Kluyveromyces lactis: one gene and its partners. The protein of the gene in region 3 purifies or fractionates together with the protein of the main gene of each other region. This does not show direct contact. Links are inferred from orthologs where the notes say so. Each region holds a gene or a part of one and is shown on either strand. Other genes may lie near its edges. The genes, in order: ORC6, ORC1 and HAT2.

Region 1 (3,046 bases), on a different chromosome or scaffold from region 3:
TTTTGGTTTAAAATGACATTGAACTTGATACCTGATACTGTGTAAGGTGCGTCTTTGAATTTCTCTGATGCCTTATAAGCAGCTTTATATGGAGCATCAGGTTGAGAAACTGGACCAGTGAATTTTATTAGATAGACGTACAATGGCAATGCACTATTTGGATCCATGAACTGTTCAAAATGCGCTATTTCACCAAATGATTTAAAGTAGTTTTTGATTATTGCTTCAGATAATGCGGCTGCTATTGGTTGTTGGTTAGATGCAGAAGGGTATACTATGATTTCTTTTGGAGGTTCAGGACCAATGTAGAAAGAATCATACGGAATTCGCGAGTTGCGTACCAATGCACTTCTAAGCTTTCTATATCTCTTTTTCGCAGAAATGGACCCAGAGACCGCATCCCCATTCATAGGACGTATTCTCGGATCCACCGAAGTTTGTTCAGGCTGCCTGGCCATGAGTATTGGTTTTTGCTTATCCGATGCAATCAACTCCGTTGTTGTCACATATCCATGCTCAGGAATCTTCTCAGATTTCCATTTCTTGAAGCTGGATTCATTTCGTAGTCGTTTACTTACAATGTCGTAATAATGATATTTTGTATTAAACTCATCGCGATCGTATTTCGCACTCACTACTGGACGCGTTGCGAAGGGATTACGAGGAATCTCGCTGATACCACGCGACTGCGACCGTATTGGACGAGATTCGTTCTCATTATTCCTAAGTTGAGACCCAAACCCCTCGCGGGAGTATCTTCGGTTCCCTGATCCATTCCGTTGGAAGCCCTTGTACCTATTCCCATTTTCTTGATATGCATATCGTCCGGTTTGGTACCGATCATTATTCCCATGAAAATGAGAGTACTGTCTATTATAGTACCCACTCATGAGAACTAAAATATACACACACGCTGGAATAGCAACTTATGCTAGATGAAATACTAGAAGTATTGCCAAAACTGAACTTATAGATGGAGAAGCGAATAATGATACTTTTGATTAATATTCAATTTCATTATTTACCATATTTTGTTTCAATATTGGAGAAAATCGAGAAAATCAGAAAAAGATCAAAAAGCTACATAAAGACTGTTTTTAATATTATGTTAAAAATGGTCCATGGAGATGAGATGAGATATATGTCTTTTCCGGGCCAGTGTAATACAACAAGTGAGTAGATGATCCTATTTTAGTCACTTTAGAGTGCTAAGAATCCGTGGAAATAATTTAAGATGTCTACGCAGCAAGTACGAACGTGTGTAACCGATTTATTAGGGGTCAAAAATGATTCTAATGTTGACTGGCAAGACCAACGGTTAAAGAAAGTGGCTTCTACTACAGCAACATTATACAACGTTTCAGTATCGAAAGTGATGCTGAAGAATTCAGAGGAACTTGCTCGGTGCCATATATGTGCACTGATTGCGTTTCAGAAACTAGCTGAGAAGTATGACAATGACCTACCATATTCTCAGGAGAAGATCCCGCTTCCACCAGACCAAGTATCCAAACTTGTGAATATATTTAAGAGAAACATATGGCCTCATTCGCCGCAAAAGGATACCGAAGGACAATTGCTGAAGTTTGATGATACTGCATCACCATCGGTTAGAAAGTCAGCGGTTAAAAATGCAAGATTCACAGGGATAGATCCGAAGTCGTTACAAGAACAGCTATTCCAGACTCCGTCGAAATCAAGAACTAAAAGTGGTATCCAGCCCTTGAAGAATGTTGATCTTTCACCTAGCAAAGGGAGTAGGTCAAGTGTCCGGAGGAAATTAGTGTTTGAAGCTGATACAGAAAATGGCCTTCCGTTGCCCATATTAGCAACCCCGAAGAATAAGACTGATATGATCAATATACCACAAGTGTTTGGATCAGTTGAGGATGATCCTGAATCTCCATTAAGACAGTCACCCTTTCGTGACTCCCCTTCTAAATACACGCCTTCACCAAGAAAGAAAAGAGGTAAGTATAACGAATGGAACATGCTATACAAAAAATACTATAGACCGTCTACCGCTGAACTGGTGACTCTGTGCAATGAATTTGAACTTCCTGAAGAAGTAACAGCTACCATAATTTCCGAATTCAATAACAACGCTACTTACCTAGCGTATCCTACACAGTTGGTTTGTGGTCTGGTACTTCTTTGCTCGTTCGTTGTCTTCAACCAACAGAGAAATCAGGACAGTACAATCGATAACAAGCTAATGAAGAAGATGGCGGCACAAATGAGAACAACAAATGATGAAGATATCATGGAAGCTATCAAGATCACAAAAGAACTAATAGACGGTGAGAAATGGTACCGAGAACTCCGTGTCAAGTTCGATTATTACGATGGATCGGATTTCGATAACGCTATCGCCGTCAGAATAGGCAGCATGTTACAAGACGAATATGAAGTCGTATCAGAAGAGCAATACTCAAACTGGAAACGAAGAATTATGGTCGACCTCAGTCTAAGAGATGGCACATGAATGGTTTCCTCCGATACCTTTCTTCTCACCGTCCCCATCTTCGCATTTATCATTCAATACGTTTTCATTACCTTTCTAATGAATTTTTCACGTTGACGTTTACCGAAGGGAACGGCAAGATGAAAAAAAAGAAGATAACTAAACATAGAGAGCGCAGATGAGATGAATTGAAGAGAGACATTACCGTCTGTCAGAACTCTGGAGATCGGATTACTCTTCGAATAATCAACTGCGAAGTACGTACCGAGTAACTGGTGAAATGACTGTTGAGTTGAAGCGAAACCTACTCGAATCATCTGTTGAAGACATTGATCTTGAATCCAAGAAACAGAGGGTCGACAATGACGTCGATCAGAACACAAGTAGTGTAGACGAAGATATTGATTATGAAGAAGACTATGATGAAGTGAACGATGTACCTATAGATTCAGGCAACTCTTTATTCAATAACAACGCTAAATGGCAAGAAACTATCTCCAAAGTTGTTAAGTCGGTGGTCTCAATTCATTTCTCGCAAGTCGCACCTTTCGATTCAGAAGCTGCCTTGGTGTCGGAAGCAAC
Region 2 (4,309 bases), on a different chromosome or scaffold from region 3:
TTCGTGATGCACCACTCGAAACCCGTCCAGACGAGACACGATATAATATTGAAAAATGCAAAGATCCACAAGCATGTGAACCAACCAGTTCCAAGATGATATGAAAACCCAAACGAATCAAGTTCGTTCGAAATCTTTTGACGAATGTTGATTGATAGTATAGTAAAGTTTATGACTGCTACTAAAGAGCAAATAAACACCAATAGTTTCATTAGTGATATAGAATGCAGGAGGATTTTGGTTTTCATGGTTTGTTCAGGTCTATTCCTGATCATGTAGTACAAGACAATCGATCCCAATATGAAAACTTCCAATACTGCCACGACGTAAAGTAGATTGACCATGTTGACTTTTCTTCTCGACAAAGCAGCCAAAAATTTGTTGTATTTTGCACTTTCTGCATTGTCGTGATCCAAAACACCATCGTTGTAAGTATATCCGTATGCGTAACTTAACACTATTCCCAAACCTAGGTCATCTAATAGCTTTCTATAGTTCAATAAGTATTGCGCTCCTTCCCTGTGACAAGTCATAGCCTTTGTAGAGTTATGTTCCTCCTTCCAAGTACCGTCAGGCTGCCATAATTCTTGAGAAGCATGTTTCATGCTGCACCATCCGTAAACTCCTGTCTTTATATAATCGGGCACGTCGTGGACCTGTGAGTCTACATACCGCGTGAGTAAAAGAATCTCTGCTGTTGTGAGTCCTGCTCCGTTATTAATATCAGACAGTTTTGCACTGACAACAGAACTGCTGAGCTTATCAAATAGTCCCTGCAAAATGTTAACATTTGAAGTGTCCAATCGTCCTAAATATAACGAATTTGGTGATGCGGCAGAAATAGCAGTCAAAACAAGGACAAAAACGATAATTCCCACTGAAGTTATAACTCGCAGCCATAACATCATCTTATCAAATGCGTTGAGGTGTCCTAGGGTCACTTTTAAGTATTTCCATAACGATATATTCCTCGCCAAGACACTTCCAAACCTCATTTCTTTTTATAAAGCTCCTAAAAGCTTCTTATGTATGACTCTATCAACGTGGGAAATTGTTCAATTTTTTTTCCAGCAGGCCAGCTGCCTTTATTCTTCTGTGTTTATCTGCTTCACCTTCGTTAATTGACTGGCAGAATTCATTCTGTTTATCATGTCATCACTCTTGAGATAAATCTCTTGATCTGTTTCTGCCAGGGTTCAAGGTTTAAAATTAGACGTCAGGAATGGGAAAACTATGTATCATTTTACACGTATTTGATGTTTCAAGATCGATCTTAATTCAGTAAACAGAGGAACCGTGTAACAACCAATATGCTATGAGATAAAAGAATGCTACGGAAACAGGTAGCTGTCATTTCAACATACTTGGCCAGCAAGTAACTACTACTAGTTTAGGAAGGAATTACTGCATTTTAACGGTTATCTGATTATTTTTCCTTTTTATTCCGTGGTAGCGAGTTTATTAGGCATGGCGTCAACGTTAGCTGAGTTTGAAGTTCAATGGGAAATACAGAAGACAGACTTGAAGGGGAATCTCATTGCTGAAACTCCTAGGCGAAGAAGAAGAGGAGATGCTACAGAACATGAAGTGATTAATTTGGTACGATACGATGGAGTCAGACTTTATCCTGGTGTTACGATTGTGTGCAAGGTAGAGGGTGCAGACGAGTTATCAGCGTATATGATCCATGAGGTGCGATTGAATACAAGCAATTACGTAGAACTCTGGTGTTTGAACTATTTGAGTTGGTACGAGATCAATGCTGCGGAAAGATATAAACAGCTTGATGGAGAGTTTTATGAGACTAATAAGGAAAAAGGTGACAAATTTTTTGAGGAAACCTTCGCGTCACAATCGATAAAGAACGAATTGTATTTGACAGCTGAGCTTTCAGAGATTTATCTACGGGACTTGCAATTTGTAGCTAATATTAAAAATGAAAAGGAGTATTTAGACTCTGTCAATGAAGGGAAAATGGATTCTAATATGTTTTTATGTCGATCTGCATGCTTGCCTTCAGGAACTAATCTGGCGGATTTAGATATACATTTCTTTGAAGAAAAAATACGTTCCTCGAATCCTAAGGTGTCTCTGGAGTATTTGCGTGATATTACTTTACCCAAGCTTCCAAAACCTTTAAATAAATCCAAGGTCCACGCACGAGAGAAGGTAGTGGCGACGAAATTGCAGTCCGACAACACACCAAGCAAAAAAAGCTTTCAACAAACAGTGAGCAAAACCAACGCTGAAGTCCAACGCATTGCATCTACTATTGTTAACGAAAAGGAAGCTATATCAGATAATGAATCGGATTTATCTGAATATCACGAAAGTAAAGAAGAGTTTGCAAACGCATCCTCTTCGGACAGTGATGAAGAGTTTGAAGATTACCAGTCTGCAGAAGAGCTTGCAATTGTAGAACCTGCCAAGAAAAAGGTGAGATCTATTAAACCAGATATACCCATTTCACCAGTAAAATCACAGACTCCATTGCAGCCATCAGCAGTTCATTCATCTCCTAGAAAGTTCTTTAAGAATAATATAGTGCGCGCTAAAAAGGCATATACTCCATTTTCCAAACGGTATAAGAATCCGAAGGATATTCCTGACTTGAACGATATTTTCCAAAGGCATAATAATGATTTGGATATAGCTGCATTAGAGGAGAGATTCAGAACAGTTTCTGCTAAAGGCAAAATGGAGACTATTTTTTCTAAGGTGAAGAAGCAATTGAACTCAAGGAATAGCAAAGAAGAAATTGTCAAAGCTGCTGATTTCGACAATTATCTTCCGGCAAGAGAAAATGAATTTGCAAGTATATACCTCTCACTTTACAGTGCAATTGAAGCAGGCACTAGCACCAGTATTTACATTGCCGGGACGCCAGGCGTTGGTAAAACTTTGACGGTTCGAGAGGTAGTTAAGGATTTAATGACATCTGCAGACCAAAAAGAACTTCCAAGATTCCAATACATTGAAATCAATGGTTTAAAGATTGTCAAAGCAAGTGATAGTTATGAAGTCTTTTGGCAAAAAATATCTGGAGAAAAGCTTACATCTGGAGCTGCCATGGAATCTCTGGAGTTTTATTTTAACAAAGTTCCAGCTACGAAAAAACGTCCTATCGTTGTGTTATTGGATGAGCTTGATGCATTAGTTAGCAAGAGCCAAGATGTAATGTACAACTTCTTTAACTGGGCTACCTATTCAAATGCGAAACTTATTGTTGTAGCTGTCGCAAACACCTTAGATCTCCCCGAACGCCATCTTGGTAACAAGATTTCGTCCAGAATTGGTTTTACTAGAATTATGTTCACTGGTTACACGCATGAAGAGCTTAGAACAATCATCAATTTGAGACTTAAATATTTGAACGAATCTAGTTTCTATGTCGACCCGGAGACAGGGAGTTCGTACATGATCTCTCCGGATAGTAGTACTATAGAAACTGATGAAGAAGAAAAGCGAAAAGACTTCTCTAACTATAAACGACTAAAACTTAGGATTAATCCTGATGCCATTGAGATTGCATCAAGAAAAATTGCTAGTGTCAGTGGTGATGTGCGGAGAGCTTTAAAGGTGGTCAAAAGAGCGGTAGAATATGCGGAAAATGATTACTTAAAGAGGCTTAGATATGAGCGACTAGTCAATTCCAAAAAAGATACTAGTGGCAATGGTACAGGAAATGAAGAATTACAGAGTGTAGAAATTAAGCATATTACCAAGGCATTAAACGAAAGTTCGACCTCTCCGGAACAACAATTCATATCTGGTCTGTCATTTAGCGGAAAACTTTTCCTATACGCATTAATCAATTTAATTAAGAAGAAGCAAACTGACGTACAACTTGGTGATATCGTAGAAGAAATGAGGCTCCTCATTGATGTCAATGGGAATAACAAATACATTTTAGAGTTGAAACGGATTTTATTCCAAAATGATTCTGTTGATACAAAGGAACAGTTAAGGGCCGTGTCTTGGGACTATATTTTATTGCAATTATTGGATGCAGGTGTTGTAGTAAGGCAATATTTGAAGAATGAGAGGCTCTCGACGATCAAATTAAATATTTCCATGGAAGATGCGGAGCAATGCTTGCATGAAGATGAAATGTTGAAGACATTTTAGTATATGCCTTCAAGACGCCTTTGCTGCTATTATAATTGCTACTTAGGTTGTCATGTAGCGTAGCGGTTAAGTAGAATATGAAACTGCTTTTTCAACTATTTAATTATAAGATAGAAAGATATAATAAAGGATGCATTTTTTTAACTACTATTTTACCGTGTTTATTCATTCTTTACCCTCC
Region 3 (3,229 bases):
TTATACGGTGGTTACACCAAGGTAAAAGCCGGCAAAGGCTTACAAAAAGGTAAGATTCTATCAGACTGTTGGTATCTGAAGATGAAATCCGATCTGGGTTCCATTAGATGGGAAAGAAGGAAGAAACAGGGTTCCCAACCATCTCCAAGAGTTGGCTGTTCTATGGTTCATCATAAGGGAAGAGGTGTTTTGTTTGGAGGTGTCTACGACTTTGAAGAAACAGAAGAAAGTCTAAGATCAATCTTTTACAACGAACTATACACATATCAGATAGAAAATAACAGATGGTATGCAATGTCCTTGAGACCTCAAAGGAAGAAGAAGAACTTCGTTCAATCGAAGTCCAACAGGAACAAAGATAAAGAACTTGAAGATATTTTGAATCAAATTCTTGATAAAGCTAACTTGCGTGACGCAGAAGACGACGATGAAAGCAAGGTCATTGAAGAACAATTAAATCAGCTAGATCTTATAGATTTTGATGATGATGATGAAAGCGACAAAAAATCAGCTAAATCCTATGAAACTATGTCAACTTTGCCTCATGCCAGATTTAACGCTGCGACTGCTGTTGTGGATGATACGTTATTCATCTTCGGTGGTACTGTTGAAATTGGCGAAAAAGACTATCCAATCGACTCCTTTTACAGCATTGATATGAACAAACTTGATGGGGTGAAGGTGTACTGGGAAGAGTTGAAGGAAGTTGAAAGAGCAGAGAAACTTGGAGAGCAAGATTCTGACGATGAATTTGGCGATGAAGACGACGATGATGAAGACGACGGTGAAGAAGAGATTGTTGACAGTAAACTTGAAGCTGAAGACGAAGAAGAAGAAGAAGAAGAGGAAGAAGTGGAAGAAGAGTACGAAATTCCGGATCTTAGACCTTGGTTGCCTCATCCCAAGGCTTTTGAAACCCTTCGTGCATTTTACGTTCGCACAGGTCCTACTTTCTTAGAATTGGCTATTTCCAGTAATAGAGACTCAAAAGGTAAGCATTTGAAGACAAAATCGTTCGAGTTATGCCAAGATCGGTGGTGGGAAAGACGTGAGCAAGTTCGGATTGAGGAAGATAAATTAGAAGAACTTGGAGGGGTCGAAGATGTTATTGAAAAGGATACATCAAAAACCCAACGCCGAAGGTAATCTAGTAAAAGTTACAAAATATATACAGTACTTAGTTGATGAAGACGAAATATTAGATGCTTTTCCCTGTATTCTGCATTCTGACAGTATTTTGAGGCAGTTGGCTTTTACCATACATTAATCCAAACACGTGACTTTGTTTGAATTGCACTGTCGCGCCCCATGAAAAACGCTTTAGGATATTCGATGGAGGATTAATAAAGAGTGCAATGAACAACGGCTGGTTTGACACATACTGTGAGAGCCGGATAACGTATCCAAAGATCAGATAAATCCAATAGACTAAATATGACTGAAGTAGAAGAACCTGAGCAACCCACAACAATTAATGAGGAGTACGATTTATGGGTCTCAAATGTGCCAATGATGTATGATTTTGTTAGCGAGACGCGACTCACCTGGCCGTCACTAACTGTACAGTGGCTTCCAACCGAGATGCAACCTCGAGAAGTTGATGGACAGCAATTATTGAGACAAGAGTTACTTATTGGGACGTTAACTACTGATAACGAGCCGAACTACTTGAAAATTGCTGCCATTGACCTGCCGGAAAACGTCACTTCTTCTAAACCAAGTGTGTCCGATGATGCGAAGGAAAATGAATTGAGCCATCGTCAATCTAAGATCAAGATAGTGAGGAAGTTCAAGCACGAACAAGAAGTCACCAGGGCAAGATACATGCCTCAATCGCCTAATATAATTGCAACTTTGAACGGAGCTGGTATCGTATACATTTTTGATAGAAATATTAAGGAAAAAGATCATGGCGCCATTGCCAGTTTCTCCTATCATAAAGAGAATGGATATGGATTGGCGTTCAATCCCACTGTTTCTGGCCAGCTACTTTCTGCATCCGATGATGGCACTGTTGCTTTATGGGATGTCACTTCCACTGCAAACAAATCGCCGTCTCAAACATTTGATGTGCATACTGATATAGTAAATGACTGCAAATGGCACGAATTCCAAAGCAGTTTATTTGGAACAGTATCCGAGGATAACACATTAATAATTCATGACACCAATAGTGATAGGGCCATTCAAAAGTTATCGGTCTCCTCTGCCTTCAATACATTAGCATTCAGTAAGCGTTCAGAAAACCTTCTTGCAGCAGCAGGTACAGACTCTAACGTCTATCTCTATGATTTACGTAGATTGCAAAAACCATTGCACTCAATGGCAGGTCATGAAGATTCTGTTACCTCACTCGAGTTTTCTCCTCATCAAGATGGATTATTAACTTCAAGTGGTTCTGACCGAAGAATTATTATGTGGGACTTATTCAATATTGGAGCAGAACAACAACCAGATGACGCATACGACGGAGTTCCTGAGCTATTCATGATGCACGGCGGTCACAGAAGCCCCGTTAACGAGTTTTCTCATAATTCAAATGTTCCATGGCTAATGTGCAGCGTCGAAGAAGAAAACGTTCTTCAAATATGGAAACCAGCGAATAAGATTGTCCGTCCTCCGCAACCGCCAGCTGATTTCGATATTACAACCTTAGAATAGTTAAGTTAATGTCTATAATTTTCTATAAGTTGATGCTATTGAGCGTTACGTATGAAACAAAGAAACAAAAAAAAACATAAGAGGAAGACTGACATTTAGGAATACTAGTACGAATAATAGTCTTTCTTTTCATAATATTGTTCTGTTAGTGCTAAGTTTAAAAAAGCTTGATGACACCCCGAGTTCGATCGATATTACTAAATTATGCAGCTCTCTTTGTTTGAAGCCAGTTTGAAAAATCAATGAAGAAATTAACTGTGCATTTTCCGTCTTTCATCCAAGCTTTCGACGTGTCTGCATATAGATCAATCAAGTTCTCATGAGAACCACCGCTGGAGAGATATAACTTGGACAAAAACAATGAGGCTAAAGAACAGGTGGAAAAAAACAGTTGTTGAAATTGTCCTGGCTTGGCAGTCATTATGAGCTTATGGACTTTTTCCAGTAAATGAAAGATTTCTGAAGTAACTGTCTTCTCTTCTTTTGCAATAGTTGCCTTAACCTTACATAGCCTTAGTTTCATTAGTTTAGCGCATTTGTCTGCTAAAGCCTTATCCAAAGTGTGTTG

What was found.
Region 1: the proteins of HAT2 (region 3) and ORC6 purify together in Saccharomyces cerevisiae (affinity purification with mass spectrometry; 3 studies listed by BioGRID). This does not show direct contact. The link is inferred for Kluyveromyces lactis from reciprocal best matches to the Saccharomyces cerevisiae genes HAT2 and ORC6.
Region 2: the proteins of HAT2 (region 3) and ORC1 purify together in Saccharomyces cerevisiae (affinity purification with mass spectrometry; 3 studies listed by BioGRID). This does not show direct contact. The link is inferred for Kluyveromyces lactis from reciprocal best matches to the Saccharomyces cerevisiae genes HAT2 and ORC1.

Annotation. Positions count from the first base shown.
Region 1 is NC_006042.1:2,246,105-2,249,150, reverse strand, and holds ORC6 (origin recognition complex subunit 6), read left to right. Parts: upstream 1-1,234; coding exon 1,235-2,485; downstream 2,486-3,046. Other genes in the region: histone methyltransferase SET1, read right to left, coding at 1-890; NMA111 (Nma111p), read left to right, coding at 2,745-3,046.
Region 2 is NC_006038.1:453,250-457,558, forward strand, and holds ORC1 (origin recognition complex subunit 1), read left to right. Parts: upstream 1-1,467; coding exon 1,468-4,128; downstream 4,129-4,309. Other genes in the region: ECM7 (Ecm7p), read right to left, coding at 1-995. UniProt on the Saccharomyces cerevisiae protein: Component of the origin recognition complex (ORC) that binds origins of replication. It has a role in both chromosomal replication and mating type transcriptional silencing. Binds to the ARS consensus sequence (ACS) of origins of replication.
Region 3 is NC_006040.1:76,119-79,347, reverse strand, and holds HAT2 (Hat2p), read left to right. Parts: upstream 1-1,434; coding exon 1,435-2,661; downstream 2,662-3,229. Other genes in the region: KEL3 (Kel3p), read left to right, coding at 1-1,146; POL5 (DNA-directed DNA polymerase), read right to left, coding at 2,864-3,229. UniProt on the Saccharomyces cerevisiae protein: Regulatory subunit of the histone acetylase B (HAT-B) complex. The complex acetylates 'Lys-12' of histone H4 which is required for telomeric silencing.